Linked DNA regions of Mytilus edulis. Each later gene encodes a partner of the first gene's protein in a complex. Links are inferred from orthologs where the notes say so. Each region holds a gene or a part of one and is shown on either strand. Other genes may lie near its edges.

What was found.
Region 2: ribosome quality control complex subunit NEMF-like (region 1) and ribosome quality control complex subunit TCF25-like share a complex: the UniProt entries of both Homo sapiens proteins name them as parts of the ribosome quality control complex. The link is inferred for Mytilus edulis from reciprocal best matches to the Homo sapiens genes NEMF and TCF25.

What each region holds. Positions count from the first base shown.
Region 1 is NC_092346.1:80,639,006-80,646,311, forward strand, and holds the start of ribosome quality control complex subunit NEMF-like, read right to left. Parts: upstream 3,097-7,306; 5' UTR 3,049-3,096; intron 2,629-3,048; 5' UTR 2,555-2,628; coding exon 2,499-2,554; intron 1,437-2,498; coding exon 1,368-1,436; intron 1-1,367. Other genes in the region: alpha-mannosidase 2-like, read left to right, coding at 3,764-3,898, 4,637-4,783, 5,786-5,930. UniProt on the Homo sapiens protein: Key component of the ribosome quality control complex (RQC), a ribosome-associated complex that mediates the extraction of incompletely synthesized nascent chains from stalled ribosomes as well as their ubiquitin-mediated proteasomal degradation.
Region 2 is NC_092348.1:25,174,749-25,182,144, forward strand, and holds the start of ribosome quality control complex subunit TCF25-like, read right to left. Parts: upstream 3,041-7,396; 5' UTR 2,936-3,040; coding exon 2,807-2,935; intron 1-2,806. Other genes in the region: uncharacterized protein, read left to right, coding at 3,208-3,386, 6,006-6,045, 6,528-6,710, 7,249-7,358. UniProt on the Homo sapiens protein: Component of the ribosome quality control complex (RQC), a ribosome-associated complex that mediates ubiquitination and extraction of incompletely synthesized nascent chains for proteasomal degradation.

The DNA.
Region 1 (7,306 bases):
ACTCCTATATATATACGAATATATGAAAACTGTTGTTTCTTATTTGTGTTTGTAACTATGTATACTTGTTGTTTATTATATTTGTAAAAATAATATTATAATGATAATATATTATGCTCCTTGTGAGCCCATTTGATGGAAATAAAGCATCTCCTTCTTCTTCTATAGTGCCGAAATACTTTGTCATATTTTTATAAGAATAAAAGTAACTGTTATAAATGATCATTGGAATAATAGTTCACAATTACTTTTATAATTGATAACTGCATTATTAGTTCACAATTACTTTTAGAATTGATCATTGGAAAATTTGTTGATTAATTGATTGATTGATTGCTGTTAAACACCACTTTCAGTACCATAATGCTATTTTTTTTGGCAGTCAGTTTTTATTGGTGGAGGAAATCAGAGTGCTCGGAAAAAAACACCAATCTTCATTAGGAAAACTGACAATCCTAGTTAATAACATAAAAGATTTGAGAACAACTGAAATGCATATACAGGTATTCCAATTCACAACCTTAGTGTTAACAGCCCAAGGGCTCATTTTTTTTATAATGAAAGGTCCAGAACCATTTGAAATTTCAAGTGAAAGGTCCTCCATAATAAATCAATGGTAGTGTATAAAGCATCTAAAAAAGAATGGTAGGTACCTTGACTTTTGTTAATTTAAAAATAAAAAGGCCTCTTCTAGAAAAGACAGGACCTACATGTAGACCTTGGACCCATACTAGTTTGAAACCTTGCAGCCTAGTGATACAGTAGTTCAACTATTTAGACCACTAGGCCCCTTACTATGAAGTATGATCATTGGAAAGTTAGTCCACAGATATATGAAACTGTTTTTACATAGGCATTCACGATCAATGACATTAAACTTATAAAATTCTGAAATGTATACTACTGTTGTACCTAAACCGGTTTCAGAATGATAATGGTACCATTTATTCAAAATACTTGCATATGAAGAAATGGCATTTTTTGTCGTTTCTTTTAAAGATTAATTTATTAAAACTTATATTATTTAATTTGACCACAGAACACTGTTTTACATTTGATGTAGTGTTAGTCTTGAATGTTTTTTTTTTACTTTCGGTTCATTTACATGTTCCAGATTTAGTGACAACCATTTTTGATGAACTACTACACATTTGTAAATAAGCAAGCTGAAGCACACCTATGGGTGCTGGATTTTCTGGCTTTGGCCTTGGGCTTTTCTTTGGTCAGAATGTTGCCTTTTTGACACATTCCTGTTTCCATTCTCAATTTAATTGGTTTACAATTGTTTCCATTTAAAAGTTGTTCACTTAAACGAAATTTTATCGATCATAACATTTTCTCATTAGTGTTGTTTTTATTATACTAACCTCTGTAACTTAAGTAGGTATGTCTTGCTATCTATATCATACACATTGTTAACACGCATCCCACAATATCTACAATAAAAACAGTTACTCTGTCAACTATATCATACACATTGTTAACTCGCATCCAACAATATCTACAATAAAAACAGTTACCCTGTCATCTATATCATACACATTGTTAACTCGCATCCCACAATATCTACAATAAAAGCAGTCACCCTGTCATCTAAATCATACACATAATTTTGTTAACTTGCATCCCAAAAATTATACTATATACATTTTGTACATGTCTCTAACAGATAAATGACATCTGCTATTTTAGTATTTTTAATTTTGATGTATGCCTTTTTGTGCTTCTTCGTTACATTTGTTGTTTTTATAGTGATTAAGATGATAACAATGTTGACTGCTGTACCCCTATTTTTGACATTTTTACCTATTGTGTCTGTTTGTTTTGTTCAGGCATCGGTGACAATGTAAGGGAATTTGGTGTGACTGTCATACAAGTGAGAGGTTTGGCTAGCTATAAAACCAGGTTCAATCCACCATTTTCTACATAAGAAAATGCCTGTACCAAGTCAGGAATATGACAGTTGTTATCCATTCGTTTAATATGTTTGAACTTTTGATTTTGCCATTTGATTAGGGACTATCCTTTTTGAATAGGGCTCTTCACGGTTAGTTCGGCCATATTGGATAGGGGGCAGATTTTTTGGAAGGAGGTGGAAATGGTATGAAAGTGTGGGAAATCCTATGTGTGTTTCCAAGCAACAGCTCTGTTTTAATGATGTTTTCCCGTATTTTTCACACCATTTTTACCTCTATTATGAAAATCTGCCCCCTATCCAATATGGCCGAACTAACCGTGAAGAGCCCTATTTTCCTAGGGAGTTCAGACTTCAGTATTTTTGTGATTTTACTTTCTGCTATATATATTGTCTTTAGTAAAAATGAAGACATTTGAATACATTTTAGTGTATTCAATATACATGAATACAATACTATTTATAAATTTTGGGAATTGTGATTCATACATACTTTCAATACGCAATAAATTCTGATAATGAAAAGTGATTATCAAAATAAGTAAAATTTATTTACCAAATTATGACAAATCTGATATCTTACTTTCTTATTTCCTTAATGACAACGGCAATATCTATTGTACTAAATCGAGTCTTCATTTTTTCTAACTGTTGGAAACTCAAATATCAAACAAAAGTTAATTCAATCAGTAAATCTGGGAAAGTTTCTTTCAATACATTACACTAAACTGGTCCGCCGTTCCATCTATAGCTTTGCACCGAAGGAACGGGTTGGTGCCATTGTCACATTGGCATTAATTGGACGAGTTTTACAAATTCAACGATTCGCTAATAAAATTGACCAATTATAGTGATAGGAAATTGACCTCAAATGTTAATACCGTGTGATGCCGCAAATAAATAAGTATCTGTTAATTAACCCCATGGTGGTAGCGCAGATAAATGACCAACGAGCGTGTTAACATGTTCTTGACAAACTGAGCCGGTATCTTTTATTCCCTTAAGAACTCAGTAGGGTTATAAATACTAGTCTCGTCGGATTATCAAATCCCGTGGTCAGAATTCTGACCACGGGATTTAGGCCATACCTGTTGTCAGTGTAGCGATAAGTGAACACAACAGGGGTCCAGTTTATACATTACACATCCGTTTCGTAATGACGTGATCTATCCAAATGAAAGAAAAAACCCGAGAACTGAAATCTTCTGGATAGGAGATACGTTTTTCACGTATTTCGCGCCAAATTTTCTAAGTGGAAACTGGGATTACTGGGATTACTCTAACTTGACATTTAAATGCCCAATACTGCCAATTATTACTGTACCATTTATATAACGAATTTAGAGAACAAATACACAATGCAAAATTCCTTTGTACTAGTAAAAACAAGTTACACTTTGTATGTTTATTTTATATGTCAATACAGAGGAATTCATTTTTTGGAGAGATATTTAGGAATATACAGCTCAAAATCATCAGAAAAAGATAGGTAGATATTTGATTTTAATTAGTTAACTGAAAACAATATTTAGAAAAGATAATATCTCAACCAAAACGAATTTTTATGCCCCACCCAGTGGCGGATCCAAAGGGGGGGTTGGAACCCCCCTTTTTTTGGCCGATCATTGCATTTGAAAGGGAGCATATAATATAAAATGAGAAAACAAAATAAACTGGTGGTCATTGTTTCAATGTGAAAATACAGTTTTTCATTTTATAAATATATTGCCAATTTAGTAATTTTAACAAAAAACATTGTTACAATTGTATATGTCTTTAATTATTAGGTACGCATAGATGGCATAGATGGATAAAATAGAGGATTTGTGTGCCTAATAGGACGAGACAATGAAAAAAAGCAGAGCTATTTATATGTTACTATGCTTTACCATTATCAATGCTATAGTATGTATGGTTTTGTACCATATGTTAGATGTTAGACCAAGAAAACAGATAACACAGGCTGTCAAATGGATGTATAAGGTACTGCATGTTTCTTTTAACAAATTATTATTGTATTATCATGAAATAAGCATTGACTATTTAATCAGACATATTGTAGTAGCTTGGATATTTAAATGCTTAAAAGAACAAACTTTTACACATGAACAAAGAGGATCAAAGAATATGTGCAGCAGCTTAACTTGCATGAATTAAAGTTCTTAATCTTCTAATATAAAAAGTATGACAATTGACTATTATTGTCTACTGTATTTTCTTAATAGATTTCAAACAGAAATATCTGATAAACATTGTAGATAAAAAAAATCTTGTACAAAGCTATATGCTACAATGGTCTGACATTGGTAATTTAACAGTCGAGGATACATTGTACAATGTATGTTACAATATATAAGAAGATGTGGTATAAATGCCAATGAGGCAACTCTCTATCCAAGTTACAATTTGTAAAGGTAAACCATTATACAGGGTAGGTCAAAGTACAGTCTTCAACACAGAGCCGTGGCTCACACTAAACAGCAAGCTATAAAGGGCCTTTAAATGACTAGTGTAGATTCAAGCAAATGGAAAACCAACAGTTTAATCTATATAAAAAAAAAGAAACACTTATGAACCACATAAACAAACAATGGTGGTCACCAGTAAATTTTGAATTCATTAGATTAGTCAGGCCATCACATCATGTTGATGCAATATAATGGTTCCTGCCTGGCTTACATTTCTCCTGTTTATATTAAATGTTTTTTGTTATGATTTAAGGAATATATCAGTAATGACCATCAATGTTTTACTGAACCTAACAGTGGTATTATTGAAGTTCCAGTCAAAAATATGAATGAAAAGTACTACAGGAACCATTTGATGTGTTCAGTTAATGAACAATCTGAGTGGGAAGCAGACATCATTGTAAGTAAGCTTTTACTAGATTTCGTAGTATCTTGTATAAGATATTTTCAATTCATAAAACCTAGTTTCATTATATATGGCTTGTGGAATTGTATAAGTATGTGTAAATTAAAAATGTTGAATACTTAATACTAAATGCATATATTATTCTTTGTCTTAACCATTCATTCACGAAATATGGTTATTCATGACTGGCTATGCCATGGCAAAGAAAGGAAACGTCAAAAGATAAATAATAATTTACAAAACACAACAAAGAAAACTTGAGACAGCGCAACAAATCCCACCAAAAACTGGAGAGTAATCAAAGGTGCTTCTGAAGGGTAAAGCAGATCCTGCTCCACATGTGGCACCTGTCTATTAGCTCATATAAGTACTTACCTGGTGATATGTCTAATTTGGTAGATCACATTTTCAGAAAAGAGGTGGTTACGACAATTTGAACATCTGTAGTCATCTGTGAAACAGATATTCTTTGAGGGTCTATTAACTTGTGATGGTATTCATAAAAATTTTGAAGGGATAATACTGAATACAACAAATATGGTCAGAAATACAAGTTTCTTTTTTTGCCACTTGAGAATTTCATGAATTTCAAGCTTTGCTTCCATGGTCATAGAGTAGAAGGTCAACTTTATTTGGTCTATAGAATTGAAGTAAAATGTACATGTCCTGTTATCAAGAATCTTCTGACCTTTATCTCATTTTCATGGTTTATTTATCAGTATTCAGTTTTCTTGATACATATAATGCAACCTTAATTTTTGGTAGGTCCACATAGTTTTGGTAAAAATTAACTTAACAGGCAATACATATTTTAAGTGTTATAGGTTGTTGACATGCTGGTCCTTTTCAATAAAAAAAAAACAATAAATAAAAAAATTAATGTTTCTACCAGGATCTTTCAAAGGGATTAAAACTTTGGAAAAAAAATTGAAGCAATATTTTAGGCTAATAAATTGTACTGCTAGAAGCCTGTTTGTATATTGATTTTTATTACAGATTGAAAAGGAAATTGATAAGTGGAGAATATCCTACCCAAAATATGTTTACCCAGTCAGTGGATATCTACAACTTATAACTGTGGATAAATGGAATATCAAAAAGTTAAAGGTCATCATTATGCCTCATTCTCATATGGATCCAGGTAATGCTGAATCTTAATTTTCTGCATACAATCTCTATTCTAATGCAACAACGTTTGTAACATGCATTTTGATTGAATAACTTCACTAATTTTCATGGCATCAATTGAAAATTGATACATGTTTTAAAGTTCTTTTCTGTCAGTTTCATTAGAATGGAGATTATGATATTGTATCTTAAGCTCCAACGCCATTAATTGATGATTTAATGTCTAAAAATTGTTTACCGTCTCCGTTAACATGTCGCCAGTAAACTTAGTTTACGACCATCAAATCACCAATTGATGCCTTCTGAGCTTAAAATACAATACAGTTATCTCCTAAAAACTGGGGAAACTGTAAAGTTCAATTGAACCAAACTTTAGAAGCCTATTGTTAAAAGCATAGAAGAAAAGAAAAGTGTTTAACCATTGATTCCATATGGGTCAGGATCCCTAATAGACCTTGAGATGAGGAACTCAGATGACGTAATTAAAAAAAATATTAGTCCGCCATACAATTGTGGATGCTGTGATTTTAAAAATGGACATAAATGAACAATAAGAACTGTTTTATAGAGCTGGTGTGATGAGAAAAGAAAGATGTAGATTTGACCTGAAATAAATTATTAGAAAGGACAATTTTTTTATTGAATTTTATCATCAGAATTTTGGGATTATTTCATGAGGAGAGTGACATTTTTCACCATCTTCCGGGGTCCATCAATTTGCGAAAAAAGTAATCTCACTTGCCACCCCGAAAATTTAACCAGACATGTATAAATGTATCAGCTTCGATATGAGCCATCATACATGTTCAAGTAAACGATATGGACTGAGCAACGGAGGAAAACGTTACCATTACCGCCTATGGAGAATTAATTGTAAATGTATACCCATATGGCTTTGCATCAAGTCTTCAGAATCAAATATGCTGTTTACCGTAGATACTCTCCTATTAGTCGATCCGATTTCAGCTCCAAATTCTGAGGATTTAGTCCTGACCCTCGTATAAGTCGGACAAAATTTGGACATTTTTTTTGCAGCTGACAGTTACTGAACGCTGGTAAAACGAATGCAAATCCAGGAATTATATTCATTTTCTGCATGAATGTTTGTTTGGTTTGAATTTAGTTGATGTTGATTATGATAATTTATATAGCTGTTAATAATAAAGATGTATTTATTCCTGTTGTTTTGACCATTCAACCATTTTAACTGTTTATAGTGGTCAGTCTGTCTGTCCGTCCGTCCGTAACACTTTAACTTTGTGTCCGCTCCATATCTAGAGAACCATTATGATTTCATACTTTATACTTTACATGTTTATTAACCACCACCAGAGGGCATGTCATGATGTATGTACAACTTCCTAGGTCAAAGGTCAAGGTAAAAAAACC
Region 2 (7,396 bases), on another chromosome or scaffold:
AAAGGATAATTTAGTGCATGTAATAAAACAAGATGGATAAATCTCTATTTTTTTTCGTAAAAAGACTACGTCGTCGGCTACGGCCAGTGCAGAGGATGATGCACAGATCCTCGGACATGTTTCATCTGAAATTGAGCCTAGCGGAGCGATGGCTTCTACAACTAACTAACAACATAACTGACAACTAAACCACCATATCCTGATATCGTTTCCTGTGACATGAAAGACGACGTGAAAAAAAAAACTAATCTGTAATAGAGTGTGATCATTCTTAGGCTTATCAGTAAATTCAAGTTTCTATCTAGGTCCACATATTAATTTTATATTCAATAAAAGAACAAAGTTCCTATGTCCCCTGCATTGCACATATTTTATGTAACCAAGGAACAAGGGCAATAACTAATAAAAAATAATATTTTTCCTTTTCCTTTTATTTTTAATGGAGAAATAAAAGCTTCAGAGAAAATGCAATGGGAGTTCCGTATAATTTATATTTCAAAAGTTAAAAGCTTATGACTTATTTTCGAAATTGTCATTGCTGATGATATAAAAATCTGTCAAGAATTGTACACATGAGAGTGCAAACAAGACCGGATGGACGGACACCAGGTATTTCGATGATGTCCCCTACGACGCGTTAATGGGGTCACTTCAGTTCTTATATTCTTAAGTGCCGCTGTGATAAGGCCGTTTTTTAGAAATGCTAGGAAAGGGGATCACTTCAATTCCTTTATACAGAAGTGCCGCTGTGATTGGGCCGTTTATGAGAGATGTCAAATATAAGATTGGTGGGAAACTTTTACATCAAATAAATAAATTATGAATTACATTCAATTTCGAGAATTTCGAGAAAACATTAAAATTGTGTTTGAAATATAATTATATGAATTGGTGGGTATTTTGAAATAAAACAAAAATCTAACCAGTGTTAGATTCTAGGGGAGAACATGTGCTTACAGGAACAATGTCTGAAAAAAATATAATTTTCTGCATAAAATAGTCAAAATTTTTTTTTCGCCACGCTCCGCTCGCCGAAGGCATCCACATCATTTCAACCGTGGCTACGCCACTGGATATGTGCATGATGGAGTATTCAGTTTATACACAATATTTCAAGCTTGATGCATCTTTGGACTCACCAGATTTAAAAATATTTTTTTACTCATGGACTTGCCTTTGTTAGAACCTTATGCTATTTTATAATACATGTTCATTGTTGGTCATTGCATCAATTGGGTATAGATGTGCATTAGTTTCTCCATAGGCGGTAATGGTAACGTTTTCTTCTGTTTCTCAGTCCATATCGTTAACTTGGATATGTGTGATTGCTCGTTTCGAAGCTGAGACATTTTGACATATGTGGTTAAATTTTCGGGGTACGAAGTGAGATTACTTTTTCCGTAAATTAGCAAACCCCGAGTATCCTTTTGTGATGCGCCTCCTCATGGTAAATAATCCCATTTTAAACACAAAAAGTTCTTTGAAAATTTAATACTTTGAACACATTTAATAGCTCCATAGATTTTACACATTTATTCTGTGTTCCCCTACTTTATAAATTAACTCAAATGGTTAAGCTCAGTCACTTGTTTATCATAGAAAAGTGTCAAATATCACTACACAGAGAATTTTTGTTTACACATGACTTTTGAGTTCCTCATTTCAAAGCGCATTAGGGATGTTGTCCCAATTGCCACGTAAATGAAACTGCTGGTAACTCAGGTCCTCTACCAGTAGAGGTTGAACATGTACGTACATGTTATGGCTATTTGGAAATCTGGGCCAGTTGACCCAAGAATCTGCAACGCTGACGGTTGAACTAAATACATCATACAACAATCATTTTTCCATCATTGTCCATTGTGGCATCAGTTAGTTCTATTGTGACGTCAAAATTTTACGGGAACCTTTGACCTGTCCTACAGACATATAGGGACAAGGTGCATTGTACATTTTTTTTATTTTTATACTAAGAACTAATAGAAGAGATGAAAACAAATTTATGTAATTAATAAATTCTGTAAAGATAATTCTTTCCTCAATGGAATTTTTATTTTTTGAATACTTGATTTGCATAGGATTTTCCAATAAAATGCTGAAAATATGCTTTATACTAGTATTAATGCATAATGATTGTAAGAAACAAATTAATATTAATGTTAATATTTCATCAAATAAATTTAAGTCAGATATTCTTCATGTTCTTATGAATATCCTTCCATATTGAATACAAATTTTCTTAAGTCTGATGTAGACATTTTGTCAAAACTTTTAAACTACACAGGTGTCTAAAGGGGTCATTATGAATTTCTGGAGTAAAGGGGGTGGCAAAAAGGAGGAAAGGGCAAAGATGTTTGAAACTTATGTTTAATAAATCAAAGATCACTGGAATCTGAACATGTGTCTGACTATTGTGTTGTTGCATTTGCCATATGTTTAATTAGTCTGAGATTACACTGACGTCCAACAGCTGTTTTGCCAGACAAGCTGGGGTAGTTGGTCCCTCGGTCCCAGGTTGTCTTGGATGTGGGTCTCATTGGGGTCTAAGCTGACATGGGATTGCTGATTTTTTGTAAGCATGACACATGAAAGTCAAATTATTGTGGCGTGAAAACGTGAAATGAAGTCATGCAGGACAAGAGAAATTAAAAATAAAATAAGAATTGCTTACATACATAGTGTAAACGGGATACAGGAATCTGACAAAACAGTAAGCGGGATCTGGGATTAGAACCCCCAAATGAGAACCACTGGAACGTCAGAGTAATTTCGGCCTAACGTTTAATGTTCATAATGTTTCCCTTACCAGTGCAAAAGGGTTCACAACAGCAGTCTGAGTTTTCTCGGGACTTTCTTCCTCATCTATCTCGTCATCAACAGACAAAACTTCTAATTCTTGTCTACCATGAAGTTTGCGCAATGCCCTCGATGACATGTTAAAAATAAGGACAAATAGTTCAAATGTTTAGCGAGGAACTCTTATGTCAAGTTCCACATGTTCAATGTTTACAATTTGTTGAGACCGGAAGTTACACACTGCGGGATATTCAATGTATTGGCTTTAATATGTAAAATTGGAGACATCAGCCAATAATACAATAATACCAATTATATGCATTCTTACAAATGATCCAAACAATAAATTAATGTGAGTTCTGAATTTTTAAATGTAATTTCTTCAATATTCCGTGCGGATCTACAACATGGATGCGCCCATGTAAACTAAAACAGCGTAAAATGTCAACTCTTATTTCTCAGCAGGCTCTTAAATTGCTAGCCTTTTCTAGAATTCTGTGGCAGAGGAATTATATGAAGTCATGTGCATGTTTCCAGCAAGCTGTCAAGATTGAAGGCGCTTTGGCTAAGATGCTGAAGAAGTCACAAAAGTAGGCAGTAAAATATGACAACTCGTCCCATAGACAATTCGCCCCTCTTATGTTCACAATCATGAGGAGGGATAGGAGGGGTCCTAATCCCCAAACCCGGGCTTAAAAATCCGAAATCCCAGGCTTAAAAACACGAAATCACGAGGTCGCGAAATTGGAAAAAAGGAATTCCCAGATCCCGAAATCCCGAGCTTAAAAACACCCGATCCCGGAGTCCCGATAAAGGTCCTATCCCCCCTCAATCATACCCATTAAGTTTTTTTGCTTCTGGAGCTGAACATTTCTGAGTGACGGCTTTGGTTCCATAATATGAGGCAGGCATTACCTGTGAATGGGGACGAAGTCTGTATTATTTTTTTTAATTCAAACATGTTGATAAAAGAAACGGAAATACCGTAACGTTTCCAATATTGGTTCTGTTGTTAGGGATTTAGTTGTGACGTTATTTAAGTTATGACGTCATATTCAATGTAAACAAACAAACGCTGTTATCCAGGTAACGTCTTTTTCATATCAAACAATTATTAAAAATGATTGGGTGTTAAATTCCTTCCTATATTTGTTGATATGTTGATAAATATACATTTTATTCAAAGTCTCATTCAAACAAGACCGGAAACGGAAGTAGATCTGAAAAAAAAATCTATTTTGAGTTCATTAGTAGAATGAAAAATTCGGGAAATTTTCCCGATTTGTTTTTTGTTTTGTTTTTTATTGATTTTTCTACCGTAATTGGGGACTTCGTCCCCATAATATGAGGCAGGCATTACCTGTGAAAGGGGACGAAGTCTGTATGAATTATTTTGTGTAACTTCAAAATCTGTTAAAAAAGAAACGGAAAAAAGGTAATGTTTCTGATTTTGGTTCTGTTGGTAGGGATTTTACTTGTGACGTTATTTAAGTTATGACGTCATCTTCAATGTAAACAAAAAAAAAATGACCATCAGGTAACGTTTATACATAATTATCAGGGGCGGATCCAGCCATTTTAAAAATGGGGGGTTCCCAACCCAGGACAAACCCCCCCCCCCTTTTTTTCTGCATTCTGCGCAAATGAGTGAATTAATAAAAGTGACCAAAAAAAAATAACAATTTTTGAGTTCATTAGTTCAATGAAAATTCCCGATTTAAAAAAAAAAAATCTTGATTTTTCTACTGTAATCAGTCAGAGCTCAGACATAAACAAGTCGATTTTTGTTTTTGACTTACAGAAGTCTTATCTAAGTCAGAAAATGACAGACTTGTTTAGGTCTATTTATGTTGATGAAAAAACTTAATTTGACTTGGTGGCCAAAGTACACCTCCTATGACAGCAAAAACCTATCTGAGAGTTCACAAGGACTTGACCTATCTATATTTAATTACCTAATTGAACATCCTTACTAAACACAGATGTTTTATCTCATTAAGTGTGGCTCCAGGTGGTTGCATTGTAAGGTTAATTAACATTATCTCCAATTTTTTAGACATTCATATTTTTCTCTAGAAGACAAAGCATTGTTTTTCAATGTTGTCATTATTTGATTTAGATGCGTGACCTTTTTATTAATATGCGTGGGTCTTGAAGTTTACAAATGTTGGTTACTTATCGACTTGTAGGAGTCGATATTTGCAACTTTTGGATTCTGGTCAATTATTTCTTGCTTAACAATATTTGACTTATTAAAGTCGTATTTTGTCTTGCATTAAAGGGAGACAAATCCTAAAACTTAAAATTTAGACCTCTATGAGTCAAAAGCAGATTCAGACCTATTTATGTCTGAGCTCTGACTGGTAATAGGAGACTTCGTCCCCTTATAAATCTGACCTCAATTTGTTCATTTTTCATTCAACCTATTTATGCCTGCCACCCTTTCTTTTCTCATATTTGAACAGTTTTCACATTGACCCATTGGTTCCTGCATCTTAACATTCACTTTGAAGGATTGTCACATGACAAACGAGAAAAAGTAACATAAGAAATGCGCAATGTATTATGCCAGCAGAATTCTTTTATGCATTTTGATTTGCTGTTGTTTTACCCCCAAAATTTGATATCACCCTACAGCTAAGGTCTTCGATGGACTAAAGCAATAGCTTGGTCAATTGTGTATGTATATATTATTAAAACTTTATGACTTGAATGATCTTACAAATGTCGCTTAATTTTTTATAATGTGTATCTAATACTGTAGTATGTAATTTCACATGTTTCATCATGAAAATTACAAAATTACAAAAAAAAAAGATTATCATCCAGCAAATAATTCTATTGAAACTCATGTCAAGGGCCATATTAGTCTTGCAGTAAGATGTGAGCTTAAAAAAATTTGCTACATGTTAAAAGCCTCACACTGATTTTTAGATAAGAAGATTACTGAATAACCTTGGCTTTTGGTTTTGTAAAGTTTTAATAAAAGTTCATTATTATGCACATCAAGTTCATGTGAAATTTTATTTTTTAAGTGCCACATACAATTGTAATGTATAGGAGAATCACTTTTGTATGTAAGTTTAAGTTAAGCATGATTAAGCTATTTAAGCTCTGGACAGTTATAGTTTCACATAGCCTTGCTTATAATTGTCAACAAGTGACATTGTTTATGCATTTATTATGTTTCTCATATATTTTCTTTTCAGAAGGAGTAAAAACTCATCAGGATGGAACGTTTCACCCAAGGTTAGCATTTGTTAACAGTGTTTGTGTTTTTACATTGTGATAATGTCAATTAAATATATACTAATTGTGAAATTATCATAATTTATCAAAATGATCATGAAATAATTTGTCAACTGTGAAATATGCTTTAGTACAAATGTATTTTTAGAACAATAACTATACACGTATATTAGTGTTTTCTTTCTCCTGTGTTTACAATGTCATTATTTTAATTTTCTGATTTTGTCCATATTAGAATGTCTTGTTTACATTGGTTACAAAAAGTAGTTCTGTCAACATTGTATAAAAAAAAAATAAAGAGCCTTATACAAATGTAGATAGCTCTCACAACCAATCATTTTAACATATTACCTAATATGCAAATCATATAAGGATTATATATACCTACTCTCACTGGATTTGTTGTACTTGAAATCAATGTTTTAACAATTATAGAGAATAAGTAAATTAAAAAGTAAATTTTCTATTTTAAAATTATATAGCAGATAATTCTAGACTTAGAAACTACTAGAACCCGACCAGGCAGTAAATATAGGGCCCCTAGTGACAGAGTACAGAGACGAGCCCATGATGTCAGTATTGTGTTGTATAACTATGTAAGGGAGATAATTAACAGTGGAGAACTTGACCAACAAATTGCTGATTCAATGGTAGAAATAACACAGGTATTAATTTTTGCTAAACTAGTTTGTCTAACTTGCAAAGAAATTAACAGCTATTGGTTTAAACAATATTTTATTCAAATAAATTGAATTGGATTGGGCAACAGGCATAGCCTATGTAAGCCCTCTGACAGCTATTATAGGTTGATGTATTGCCTTCAACAATGAGTAAAGCCCATACCGCATAGTCAGCTATACAAGGCCCAGAAAGAGTCAATTGAAACCTAGCCTAAATATTATAAATAATTTTTCATGTTTTACAATATACTACAAATTTCCATAAAGTTACGTTATTTTTAAAAGGTATAAATATTGCTTTGAACACAAATTTGATACTATGTTGCAAATTTTTCATGTAAAGTACATCTTCAATATGAATGAATGAATTTTTATCTGAAAGGTGATTTATATATAAAGTTTTACTTAATACAATATAATATGTGTATCTATCAAGATTCTCGTAACTTGCTTTACATTACATTTTTTTTTTCTTGAACATTTTCAATACTTGATTGTAAATAATAAATTATTTTTTGTCAAGGTTAAAATGCTGCCTGATTTCTCTGCCATTCATGTGCTATGGTTACCTTTTGGTAATGAGGAAGATATGGAACTAGATACTCTGCTGCAAAGAAAAGAAAGTAAATTAAGGTAAACTATTCATATTTGTTAATTTGTACACAATTTAC